Macaca mulatta: one gene and its partners. The protein of the gene in region 1 purifies or fractionates together with the protein of each later gene. This does not show direct contact. Links are inferred from orthologs where the notes say so. Each region holds a gene or a part of one and is shown in the gene's direction. Other genes may lie near its edges. The genes, in order: RHOC, RAP1GDS1 and DAAM1.

Region 1 (4,246 bases):
TGGATTCAATAAATGTTAGCCATCTTGAAATTGTCTGCATTCCTCATTTAGACTCTTAAGTTGTTTGAAGGCAGAAATGGATCTTCCAAACATAGCTCTCAGTTCACCCTCAAGAAATGTTTACTGAGCCAGTTAAGAGGCCTGGGGTCAAACTGCTGTGGACCTCAGTTTTCACATTTGTCAAATGTCTGGATTGCACTTCAGATAAAGTCTGTATGACTCCTAACATTCATTCATTCATCAAATATTTGTTGGCAACCTATTACGTGCCACTCACTGTGCTAGACAACGGGGGAAGGGACAGGCTGGAGGAGCCTGGGAAGTAGCAGGGCCAGACCACCAGTTTGGAGCCAGACAGGCCCGGCTTTGTGAATTCTTGCTGTCACAAGTCAAAAACATTTGTGTAAGCCACTTGATTTCTCTGAGCCTCAGCTTCCCTATGGGCAAAAAGGGATGGGTATATTTTCCCCAAAGATCTGTGATGAATATTGAAAGGGTTAAGCTGTGTAGTGTCCCAAGCACAAGCCAATGAAATGTTGGTGGACGTCCTCATTCTACTCCCACCTCCTCAGCTTCCTTACAGGAAAAGGAGATACGCGTGTAGGTAAGTATCCTATACACCAAGTCAGAACTAGAAGTGGGAACAGAATTCCCAGCTGGGATCCGGAAGCATTTCTAGGAGCACCCTTTGAGGAGTAGGTAGGAATTGGACTCCTGGAAATTCCAGGCCCAGGGAGGAAAGCGAATTGTGAGGAGGAACGCTGGTCTGGGTCTGAACGGCTCTGAGAGGTCTTCAAGTTTGGGGGATGACGTTGGGCTGTACGATCCTAGGAACAAGAGAGTGGACATCTCCCCCAACCAACACACCCACGCCGGGCCCTGGGACGTGCCGGGGGCTGCCCTTTCCCAGTCCCGCCTCCGGAGAGGTCCCAGGTGCAGCAAGAGCTGGTGGCTGATTGGCCACAGGAGGGCAGCAGCGGCCCTTCCTGACCCCACCCCGAGCACTCTTAACTTTCCCGACGCCGGTCCTCCCCTAGGGGCTGGAAGGTTGGGCAGAGTGAGTTCACCCAGGTAGTGCTGGCCCCGCTCGCCCGGCTCCTCCGCAGTCCCGGAATAACCCCGTGGCCCTCCCCTACCTGGCGGAGTGGACGCCCCCGGCCCCAGGCCTGCGGACCAGGGAAGCGGCGGCCGCCCTGCGCGGGGCCGGGGCGGGCCGAGCCAAGGGCCGCCCCCAGCCGACCCTCCCCCTGCCGGGCCCGCCCTCCCCGCCGCGGAGCTGGAGGAGGGCGGGGCGGGGCCCTGGGGTCAGTCTGAGCCTCAGGCACCGGCCGCGCAGCTGGAGGCGGCGGAACCGAAGGTACCCTGGGCCGGGGCTGCGGGCAGCGGGGCGTCTTGGGAACTCGTCCCCGGGAGAGCACTTTGCCTTCCTCTCTGGGCCGGAGATCGAGGCCCGTGCAGGGAGGGGGCTTCGGCCTGGGCTTGGACCCCGTTCCCTCCCTGCGGAGTCGGCATCCGGGCTGGGCGGGGGTCGGCCGCGTCGGCACCTCCCCGGGCTGCAGCGAGGGGGCCCGGACTTGCTGGCAGGGGCTCTCGCCTCCTGAGGTCCGAGTCGGAGCCCCTTCCCCTCTCCTTCCAGCTTCCTGGAACCTGCCCCGCCGGGTGAGGGGCGAGGGAGCCTCAACTCAGACGCTCCAGCCCCCAGGGCGGGCGGCCGCAGGGGACCTAGAGTGGGATGGGGTGGGAATTCCTCCAGGCCAGGAGGGAGGCATGGCGGGAATAGGGGCGGGATGTGACCATTGGGACCTGCCACTGTTCGGCAGGGTCTGGACGCCGCCCTAGACGGTTCCTGGAGCCCGCTTGTGTTGAGGATAAGGGAGATGGGGAAGGATCCAACTGTGTGTGTGTGTGTGTGTGTGTGTGTGTGTGTGTGTGTGTGTGTGTGTGTGTGTGTGTGTGTGTGTGTGTGTGTGTGTGTGTGTGTGTGTGTGTGTGTGTGTGTGTGTGTGTGTGTGTGTGTGTGTGTGTGTGTGTGTGTATCCTGGGGTTTTGGGGCTGGGATCCTGAGGCCGAGTCCCACCCTCACTCTGGTTTTAAAGTTGAGAATGAGGTATCTCCTGGTATCTCCAGAACGGATTCCTTCCCTAGGTGTAGGGTGGGTCAGCAAAGTCAACCGGCCGCTCTGGATCATCTGGGAATTCAAGAGAGCGGTTGGAGAGAGATCTGGTGTATCCACACTGTCTTGTCTTGGGGAAGGCCCCAGAAGTTCCAGGCTCCATTCCAGGACCTGTGTGGGGCTCAGTTGCCCCTCTTAAGGGGTCAGTGGGACAGTCCCTCTGGGGCTGCCTCCCATAGGGAGTTATCCATGCCATCTTGGCCTTGGGCCTAGTGTCCTGGCCTGGCCTGGGCTGCCTGCTGTTCCGGCCCAACCATAGCCTGGAGGGAAGGTCTTCTAATTGAGCTGGAGGCTCCAGGTCCCTTAACGCATGCCTCAACCCCAGGCTTCTGTCCTCTGCCTCTTTCCACTCTGGTGCCATCTGAATTACCCTGCTGGGGGGACAGCAGTGACATACTCATGCCTAAGTGACTGGCTTTCACCCCAGTAGTGATTGCCCTCCAACACTGCCCACCCCAGGGTGGGGCTACCCCAGCCCATCTTTACAAAACAGGGCAAGGTGAACTAATGGAGTGGGTGGAGGAGTTGGAAGAAATCCTAGCGTCAGTCACCTGGATAGAATTCCCGAGGAACCCTCTTTTTGGAGGGTGGTTTCCATTTCTGGAGGCTATCTGCCGGCAGGGTGAAAGCCTTCTTGCTTGTCTTCTGGGGAATCAGAGAGAGTCCATTTTCTGGTGGGAAGAGTGTGGCTGTGTACTTTGAACTCCTGTAAATTCTCTGACTCACGTCCACAAAACCGACAGTTTTGTGAATGTGTGTGGAGGCAAGGGAAGGGCCACCTAGGATCTGCTGTTGAAGGGAACAGGCCTGGGGCTGGAGGATTCGTTTCCTAAAGGGCAGTGTGAGGTGGTGGCGGGGTGTGGGGAGTAGAGGCCTTCAGTCAGCCCAGTTTGACAGGATGTGGGACTGAGAGAAAAAGCTAGGTTTGAAGCCGAGATCAGGTTACCGTCGCTTTCTTAACTGCTCCCTGCCTGGTTGGTGCTGGGACTGGCCCTCATTTGTCTCTTCTTTTGGGACTCCTCCCAACCCAGACTCTAGCCCCCTCCCCCTTCCCAACAGCCTTGACTTCATCTCAGCTCCAGAGCCCGCCCTCTCTTCCTGCAGCCTGGGAACTTCAGCCGGCTGGAGGCCGGTTCCCCTCCCCAGGGAAGGAGGAAGTGAGGGAAGCTGCGAAGGTGTGATGAACTGTGCAGATGCTCGCCGTGTGTGCTGGGGGTGGGGGACACTTGGAAGCCCGGGAAGCTGACTCCTTGCCCTGAGTCACAGGGAGGGGTGGGCAGGGCCTGTGGGTGAGCTGGACCAAGGGAGGAAGGGACTGTTCCAGAGTGGGTGGAGGTGATTCCCTGGTGGATTCTTCTCAGTCACTGTGCTGTGGTGGATGTGTGGCTCCCTACAGTGTGGTCATTGTCCCCTGCCAGGGGCTGAGTGACCCAGTGTTGCTGGCAGGCCCAGGAGGAAGGGGGGAGGAAGGCAGCCTGCCCAAACTCGAGCTGTGGGCACTGCTGGGACTGAGCCTCCTTTGTATGACTTGGGGCTTTGGGGACGGGGTGGGGTGGACCAGGGAAGCTGGCTGGCTGCTGCCCCTGTCCTCTGGGTTTCCCTGCTTCTGCTCTCCTTCCTACCGCTGAGGTGACATGTCGAAGAGGCACGGCTTTGAGTCACACAGTCCTGCTATGGATGCTATCCCTGCCGCTTATAAGCCACAGCTCTGAATCTGTCTTAACCTCATTGAGCCTTAGTTTCCTAGTTTGTCAAAATGGAAAGTACACCATCTACCTCCCAGGCATCTGGGGACCAAAGGAGATAATTCCTGCCAAAATGCCCGACAGAGTGCCTGGCACCTAGGGACTCTGTAACTATTCTTCCTTTACCCACCTACCACCTGGTAGCTGGTTCTGCTACTCTGGTCCTAGAGAGGGACTCCTTATTTGTGACTGGACAGGTATGACTTGTGCTGAGGGACAATCTGTTCTAGATTGGACCTTAGAGATTATTAAACTGTAAATGCATCAAAATCCTGGTAGCCAATGAAGTCTGACTTGAAACCCTGATGTGTGAAGTAGATAGAAGCTT
Region 2 (3,647 bases), on another chromosome or scaffold:
TATTGTCATAAAAATTATGATATTGTCTGTTACCCGCTTATACACAAATAGGATACAGACACACACATAAACAACTGAATTCCATTCTTAAAATTGACAAAAAAGTGACAGAATTGTTTCTAAATGGAAAAATATAACATGGATCTTAAAGACACTCAATAAACCTGTATTGAATTGAATGTTTATCAACAGGAATGCTAATACCATTTTAACCATAGTCTCTCTTTTTCTACAGTTATAAATAAAGCAAAGATGTTATCAGCTGGGGTCACAGAGACAGTTTTAAAATTTCTTAAATCTGAAATGCCCCCTGTTCAGTTCAAACTTCTGGGAACATTAAGAATGTTAATAGATGCACAAGGTAAAAGAAATGTTTTCCCCAACTTGCATTTTTGGTATGATAGTCTTAATGTGCTTCTAGTTGAAAAAAGACTTGTTTCTCGCTTTCAGGATTATGTAATCATAAAAAATAGCAAATAAAAGATTAAAAAATTAGTTTTGGAACTCCATTTGTTAATTTTTGTGCTTGTTATAATTGACTATTTATTTATTTATAACTATTATTTATTTATTTTTGAGACAGAGTCTTGTTCTGTCACCCAGGCTGGAGTGCAGTGGTGTGACTTCAGCTCACCGCAACTTCCACCTCCTGGGTTCAAGCAATTTTCCTGCCTCAGCCTCCTGAGTGGCTAGGATTACAGGCATGCTCCACATCTCCTGGCTAATTGTTTTTGGAATTTCACTAGAGATGGGGCTTGTTGCCCAGGCTGCTCTTGAACTCCTGGCCTCAAGCGATCCTCGCACTTCAGCCTCCCAAAGTGCTGGGATTACAGGTGTGAGCCACCACGCCCAGCCTATTATTGACTTTAAGTAGAAATTATACCATATCTCTCCTTATTAATTCTTATAATCCTGGTTTTAGTTTGCTTTATTATCAATTTCGGGGGAGGGCGTTGTGTTTTGGCATTCTATACCCATTTTCACCTTGGCTTTGAAATCAAATTTCATTATTGTGACAGTCAAAAATCTTAAAAATTTGTCTTGTGGCAGGGAGAGCATTTTTCTATTTGCAGAAACAGCAGTCAGAACCACTCCTAGGAATGAATTATGTTTATTTACTTATTTCTAAATTCTAAAGCCTTTTCTATATTGATTGCATAGAGTCCTTCTAAGAACCCTGCATTATAGTCTGCCAGAGCACTAACAGACTAGCAGGCTTAACCAAAAGAGTATGAAATCATTTGTTTTTGTATTTTCTATAAAATTTCACAATGTTACAGAAAAAGGCAAATAGCCCATCACATAAGGAATATTTGCAGTTCTAGCTTTAATGAAATTGTTGTGCTGTGTTTTTTTAGATGTATTTCTCCTTCACACTCTTAAATCTTTACGAATTACTTCAGCTGATTGTCTGTTAGTGATTCATTCCTTGGTTTGCCTTCTTTCCTATAGCAGAAGCTGCTGAACAACTGGGAAAGAATGTTAAGTTAGTGGAGCGTTTGGTGGAATGGTGTGAAGCCAAAGATCATGCTGGTGTGATGGGGGAGTCAAACAGACTGCTGTCTGCCCTTATACGACACAGTAAATCAAAAGTAAGTTCCAGAGGAAACTGTTCACTAGAAAACTTCAGAGCGTCTTTTTCAGAAACCCAGCATTGTAGGTCCTAACAACTGGGATAATATTTACCTGAAAGTATTGTGAAGATTCAGTGAGATCATGTGTATAATGTGCTTAGCTGGTACATGGGATATAGGAAACACTCAGTAAATGGGGGTTGCTGTTGCTGCTGCTATTGTTGTTATTACTTTTACCACCACCATTACCAGCATTAGTGTCAAACATTTCTTTGTGCCAGGCATTGACCATGCAGGCTACTGATATTTAGAATTTAGAAATTAAATGATATCTAGATAGTATATGATGTCCAGAGCTCACAGAGTTAGAAAAAAATCCATTCTTGTGACTGTGCAGCTTTCTGGCACATGGTAGATAACCAATAAATGAACAGATGAGCTGTTTCAAAGATCACAATAGTGAGTACCCAGGCCAGCAGTTCAGCAGCTGATTTAGTATCTAGATTATATGATTTTTAAATTTTTTAAATACTGTTTTTTTCTTTTCTTTCTTTTTTTTTGAGACTGAGTCTTGCTCTGTCGCCCAGGCTAGAGTGCAGTGGTACAACCTCGGCTCACTGCAACCTCTACCTCCCAGGTTCAAGCAATTCTCCTGCCTCAGCCTCCAGAGTAGCAGGGATTACAGGCAGGCGCCACCACCCTCAGCTAATTTTTGTATTTTTAGTAGAGATGGGGTTTTACCATGTTGGCCAGGCTGGCCTCGAACTCCTGACCTCATGATCCGCCTGCCTCGGCTTCCCAAAGTGCTGGGATTACAGGCATGAGCCATCATGCCCAGCCTTTAATACTGTTTTCTAAGGTGACCCTTTCAGTCATTTCTCTTGTACAACTTCAGTAGTGATTATATATGAGGAGAAAGTTTAGAACTCAAACCCACCAGCTGTTTTCATTTATTTTTAGAACAGATAAGAAGATGCCAAGAGAAAAAGCATAAAACTAAAACTGTTCTTGACTTGTATAAATCTCTTTCATATAAATAATTCACTTCACCATAATAGCCATCCCAGCTGGTTAGCCTCAGGAGTGTTCTTCTCCATCAGATGCTAAATCTTGAGAACTTTCCCTGGGGAAAAGCAGCTGTTAACTAGGACCTTCCTATTACCTGTCTCACCCAGACCACCCTAAAATCTTATACATTTTCCCTGACACAGGACCAAGTAGTATGTTGGCAAAGCGAAAGTTATCAAGAGAGAATAGCAAAATGGCTTCGTTGGTACCCCTTTCACCCCTTCTCCATCATAACTGTTCTCTCATGCCCATTTGTTCATTTAACAGTTAATATTTGAGTTCTTGCAGTGTAAATACTACAAAATAGTGTTTCTATAAAGGAATTAACTATCTATTGAGGGGACAGACATAAAAACAGCTAGCTTAAGTACAGCATTAAAGCTACATATGCTATTCGGATGTAACAGAGGAAAGAAAGACTAACACACTGTCTGAGTGGTCTGGGATGGTGTCATAGAAGGAGTGCTATTTTAGGGGCTAACTAGGAATCTCTCAGGAGGAAAGGGAAAGAGAATGAAGGAAAGGGCCTTTTCAGGCAAAGACGACAGGATGTACAAAAAGTACAGAGATGTAAAACAGCATAATTTTAGAAGGAAACTGCAAATAAAGCAGCATTGCTAGAACATAGAGTGTGGAGAGAGACAGTGGCCAGAGAGGTTGAAAACTGGGAATTAAGTGAATTATATGCCAAGTTAAGGTGTATGGACTTGATTCTGTAGAGAATTCTGGAGCACTTAAAGGATTTTAAGCAGCAAGTTGCCATTATTTGGGTTTTTGTTTATTCGGGGTTTTTTTGAGACAGAGTTTCACTCTTGTTGCTCGGGCTGGAGTGCAATGGCACGATCTCCACTCACTGCAACCTCCTCCTCCTGGATTCAAGCAGTCCTCCTGCCTCAGCCTCTTGAGTAGCTGGGATCACAGGCATACACCACCATGCTCGGCTAATTTTGTATTTTTAGTAGAGACAGAGTTTCTCCATTTTGGTCAGGCTGGTCTTGAACTCCT
Region 3 (3,647 bases), on another chromosome or scaffold:
TTGCTATTTTGTTCATACCAGAACTTTTATAAATTAGCATATAAAACCATGGAGCAAGCTAGAGCACTATATATGGTGTCTGAAGAATGTTATGTTTTTGCCCGAAGAACTCTTTTCTAATAGAGTATTTCCAAATAAGTAAAACATTGAAAACTCCTCAGTGAAGACAGAAATGGTAAAAAGGACACTTTTATTACAAATTTAAAGATACAGTAATTATAAAATATATATAAATATAAGCCAAAACTTGTTTTATTTAAAAATAAATGTTGAAAATATTTTAGGTAGATAGTATCACTGAAGTATCAGAAGAACCTAACAGTGTAACAAAGACAAAGCAATAAAAATAAAACCAATTATAAACTGTTTGGGGGCACTGCATAAACACAGCGTGGTCTAAATATGAAGAAAACTTAAAATCTGGAAAATGTTAAGTAGTTGATTGGTCATGGGGAAAAATGTATTTGACTTTGAAGCTAGGAACACTATCCTTAGTAGCTTAGGAGTAATAGCATTAGATCCTTACAGAAGGAAGTATAATTTTAACAAACAATTTGACATTGAATATTATTTGGGTAGTTGTAATGCTAAGACTATTGAAATACATACTGCCTTGAGTTATGAAGATAACCTCTGGAAGAACTAAAACAAGACTGGATATACTATTGTTACTGTATACATATATTTTTATCTAACTTCATAAATTTCTTCCTTGGTATGTTGCATTTTGGCCATTTGAAAAGATTGACACTGGGGCATGTTGCATGTACCCATAGTCCCAGCTACTCAGGAGGCTGTGGCAGGAGGATCACTTGTGCCTAGGAGTTTGAGTCCAGCCTGGGCAATGTAACATTGCAATACCCCATATCTTTTTTTAAAAAACTTTTTAAAAAAAGATTGGCATTGAAAGGGGTTCTAAAACAAAGAATTTGGAATAAAATTGTATTCTCAGTCATACACTGGGTTGCATTAAAGATTCCATACTCAGTTACTGTTTTCTCATTGAGACCCTGAAAATATCCCAACAATAGCAGCATTATTTATGATTGGGAAAAGCAGCTAAGAGGCACTGGCTCCCATTTGCTTTCTATGTTGACCATATGGCACTAGTAAATGATTTTAAACTACTTCAAAGAAAAGTTAAAAGTACAAGTTTCCCTCCCCCTGCCGAGTTTGCTGTTAGTTTTATGTCTGGGGTGCTGTGCTCTACAATATTTTGTTTTTACTACTGTTTAGTTAATAAAAAGTCATAGGAGGTCATCATACATGTTAAGCTCAACTGAGGTAGACAGGAATAAATGGTTTCAAAAGCTAAGGAGTATTAAAATTTTTACTTAGAAATGATTAATAGACATGTTCAGCAGCTGAAGATAAATATAGGCTCGCTAGAATCCATCAGTTATGTTTGACTTAGCCGGGTGCAGTGGCACATGCCTATAGTCCCAGCTACTTGTGAGGCTTAAGGGGAAAGATTGCCCAGGAGTTTGAGGCTGTAGTTTGCTGTGATCATACCTTTGAATAGCCACTAAACTCCAGCCTGGGTAATATGTAAGACTCCATAAATTTGGGGGGGGGAAAAAAAAACCAATAACATATGCATTCCAGCCTGGGCAACATGTAAGACCCCATCTCTTAAAAACAAAAACAAAACAAGAAAAACTGCCAGGTATGGTGGCTCACGCCTGTAATCCCAGCACTTTGGGAGGCCAAGGTGGGTGGATCACCTGAGGTTAGGAGTTTGAGACCAGCCTGGCCAACATGGTAAAACCCCTACTCTACTAAAACTACAAAAATTAGCTAAGCATGGTGGTATGTGCCTGTAATCCCAGCTACTTGGGAGGTTGAGGCTGGAGAATCACTTGAACCCGAGAGGCAGAGGTTGCAGTGAGCTGGGATCATGCCACTGCACTCCAGCCTGGGTGATGGCGAAACACCATCTCCAAAAAAAATTAATAAATAAAAATAAATGAGCAAACAAAACTTATGCTTGACTCAATCTGGGCTTTAGTCTTTCTAAAGTTATTTGTATTTGATTATGGAATTCTCATGAAACATTGACTTCTTAAAACCCTCTTTTTTCTAGTTCACTAAAGCAGTGAAGCACTTTGGGGAAGAGGCTGGCAAAATACAACCAGATGAGTTCTTTGGCATTTTTGATCAGTTTCTTCAAGCTGTTTCAGAAGCCAAGCAAGAAAATGAAAATATGAGAAAGAAAAAGGAGGAAGAAGAACGTCGAGCTCGCATGGAAGCTCAGGTGAGAGGATGATTAATTGACCAATTCCACCTCCTAGAAGTCCTATGGCTGCAGCCCAGTCAAAAGTATTTAGAGAGCACTCTGACCTGCTGGCAGGAAGGAAGGCTTCAGTGTACTCTCTAGAATTCTGTGGGATTTTAAATTGGTGTTGTTTCTCTTGGGCTATTTAACAGTGTATTTCAAAGCCTTAAAAAAAATATATCTATCCACATCCTTTGCTCTGGAATTCCAATTTTTGGCATTTATTTTAAAGAAATAATCATAAATTTACACAAAAAAGGGCAGCATTCTTTATAATAGCCCCAAGCTAAAGACAACCTAAATGTTTACCAATAGGGCTTGAGTTCTAAATGATGTAACGACTATATAATGGTATATTTACGCAGTCCTTAAAAGACATGTATTTAAAGAGTAATGATACAGAAAAGTTTACAAAGTGATTTCTACATGAAATCTTTTTCTGTTTTGTTTCTTAAGATGTTAATACATATAGAAAATAATAGTGGTGAGATAAACCTCTAAAAAGTTCACAGTAGTAGAATTAAAGATGCTTCCCCCACCTTCCTTTTATCTGAATTATCCAAATTGTCTACAATGTGCATGTATTAGTTGGCTTTTAATAACAGTAACTGTTGTGTATCAGGTTTCAGGCTTCCACAGTAGATGCAAGCTAAGCCTTTGATATAAGGAAAATGGCCTGATGACCATTTGCTTTAGTTATTTGGGGTCTATGTAATAGTGATACCTTTTTTTTTTTTTTCGTTAGCAAAAACACAAATTGCCTCAATTGCTCTTATTTTAACTAGAATATCATGCAGTTTACCTAGAATCTAGGTGGTGAGGGTCTAACCACAAGACAGTGGTTATTTTTTGTTGTTGTCCATTGCTTCCACAATGGAGACTCCATGTTCCAATTACCCTTTCTTGTGATATCCAAAGGGGTTATAGGATGAGCACAGCTTGGTGTCTGGAGCATTACCATATTTCACAGAATTCATCTCTACTGAAAACAAAATGCAACATTTTGACATGTTTCTAAGAGGTTATTTCTTTCTATTTGCAGCTCAAAGAACAACGTGAAAGGGAACGTAAAATGAGAAAAGCTAAAGAGAATAGTGAAGAAAGCGGAGAGTTTGATGACCTTGTTTCAGCTTTACGCTCAGGAGAAGTGTTTGACAAAGACCTTTCTAAATTGAAACGGAATCGCAAACGCATTACCAACCAGATGACTGACAGCAGCAGAGAGAGACCAATCACAAAACTTAATTTCTAATCTTCCATGAATACTTTATTTTAGAAAGCTCATTAGCGGCCCTCTAAAGTGACTAGAACGTTTCATTACACTGCCTTGCAATCCAAACAGTGGCAATTTTTTCCTTCATCTGTGAGTGAA

What was found.
Region 2: the proteins of RHOC (region 1) and RAP1GDS1 purify together in Homo sapiens (co-immunoprecipitation; 3 studies listed by BioGRID and IntAct, counting the BioPlex papers as one, with this or other methods). This does not show direct contact. The link is inferred for Macaca mulatta from reciprocal best matches to the Homo sapiens genes RHOC and RAP1GDS1.
Region 3: the proteins of RHOC (region 1) and DAAM1 purify together in Homo sapiens (affinity purification with mass spectrometry; 3 studies listed by BioGRID and IntAct, counting the BioPlex papers as one, with this or other methods). This does not show direct contact. The link is inferred for Macaca mulatta from reciprocal best matches to the Homo sapiens genes RHOC and DAAM1.

The regions. Positions count from the first base shown.
Region 1 is NC_133406.1:127,552,490-127,556,735, forward strand, and holds the start of RHOC (rho-related GTP-binding protein RhoC), read left to right. Parts: upstream 1-1,307; 5' UTR 1,308-1,357; intron 1,358-3,117; exon of another isoform or gene 3,118-3,348; intron 3,349-4,246. UniProt on the Homo sapiens protein: Regulates a signal transduction pathway linking plasma membrane receptors to the assembly of focal adhesions and actin stress fibers.
Region 2 is NC_133410.1:107,712,644-107,716,290, forward strand, and holds part of RAP1GDS1 (rap1 GTPase-GDP dissociation stimulator 1), read left to right. Parts: intron 1-235; coding exon 236-361; intron 362-1,452; coding exon 1,453-1,592; intron 1,593-3,647. UniProt on the Homo sapiens protein: Acts as a GEF (guanine nucleotide exchange factor) for the Rho family of small GTP-binding proteins (G proteins) that stimulates the dissociation of GDP to enable subsequent binding of GTP.
Region 3 is NC_133412.1:132,485,410-132,489,056, forward strand, and holds part of DAAM1 (disheveled-associated activator of morphogenesis 1), read left to right. Parts: intron 1-2,083; coding exon 2,084-2,254; intron 2,255-3,317; coding exon 3,318-3,527; 3' UTR 3,528-3,647. UniProt on the Homo sapiens protein: Binds to disheveled (Dvl) and Rho, and mediates Wnt-induced Dvl-Rho complex formation. May play a role as a scaffolding protein to recruit Rho-GDP and Rho-GEF, thereby enhancing Rho-GTP formation. Can direct nucleation and elongation of new actin filaments.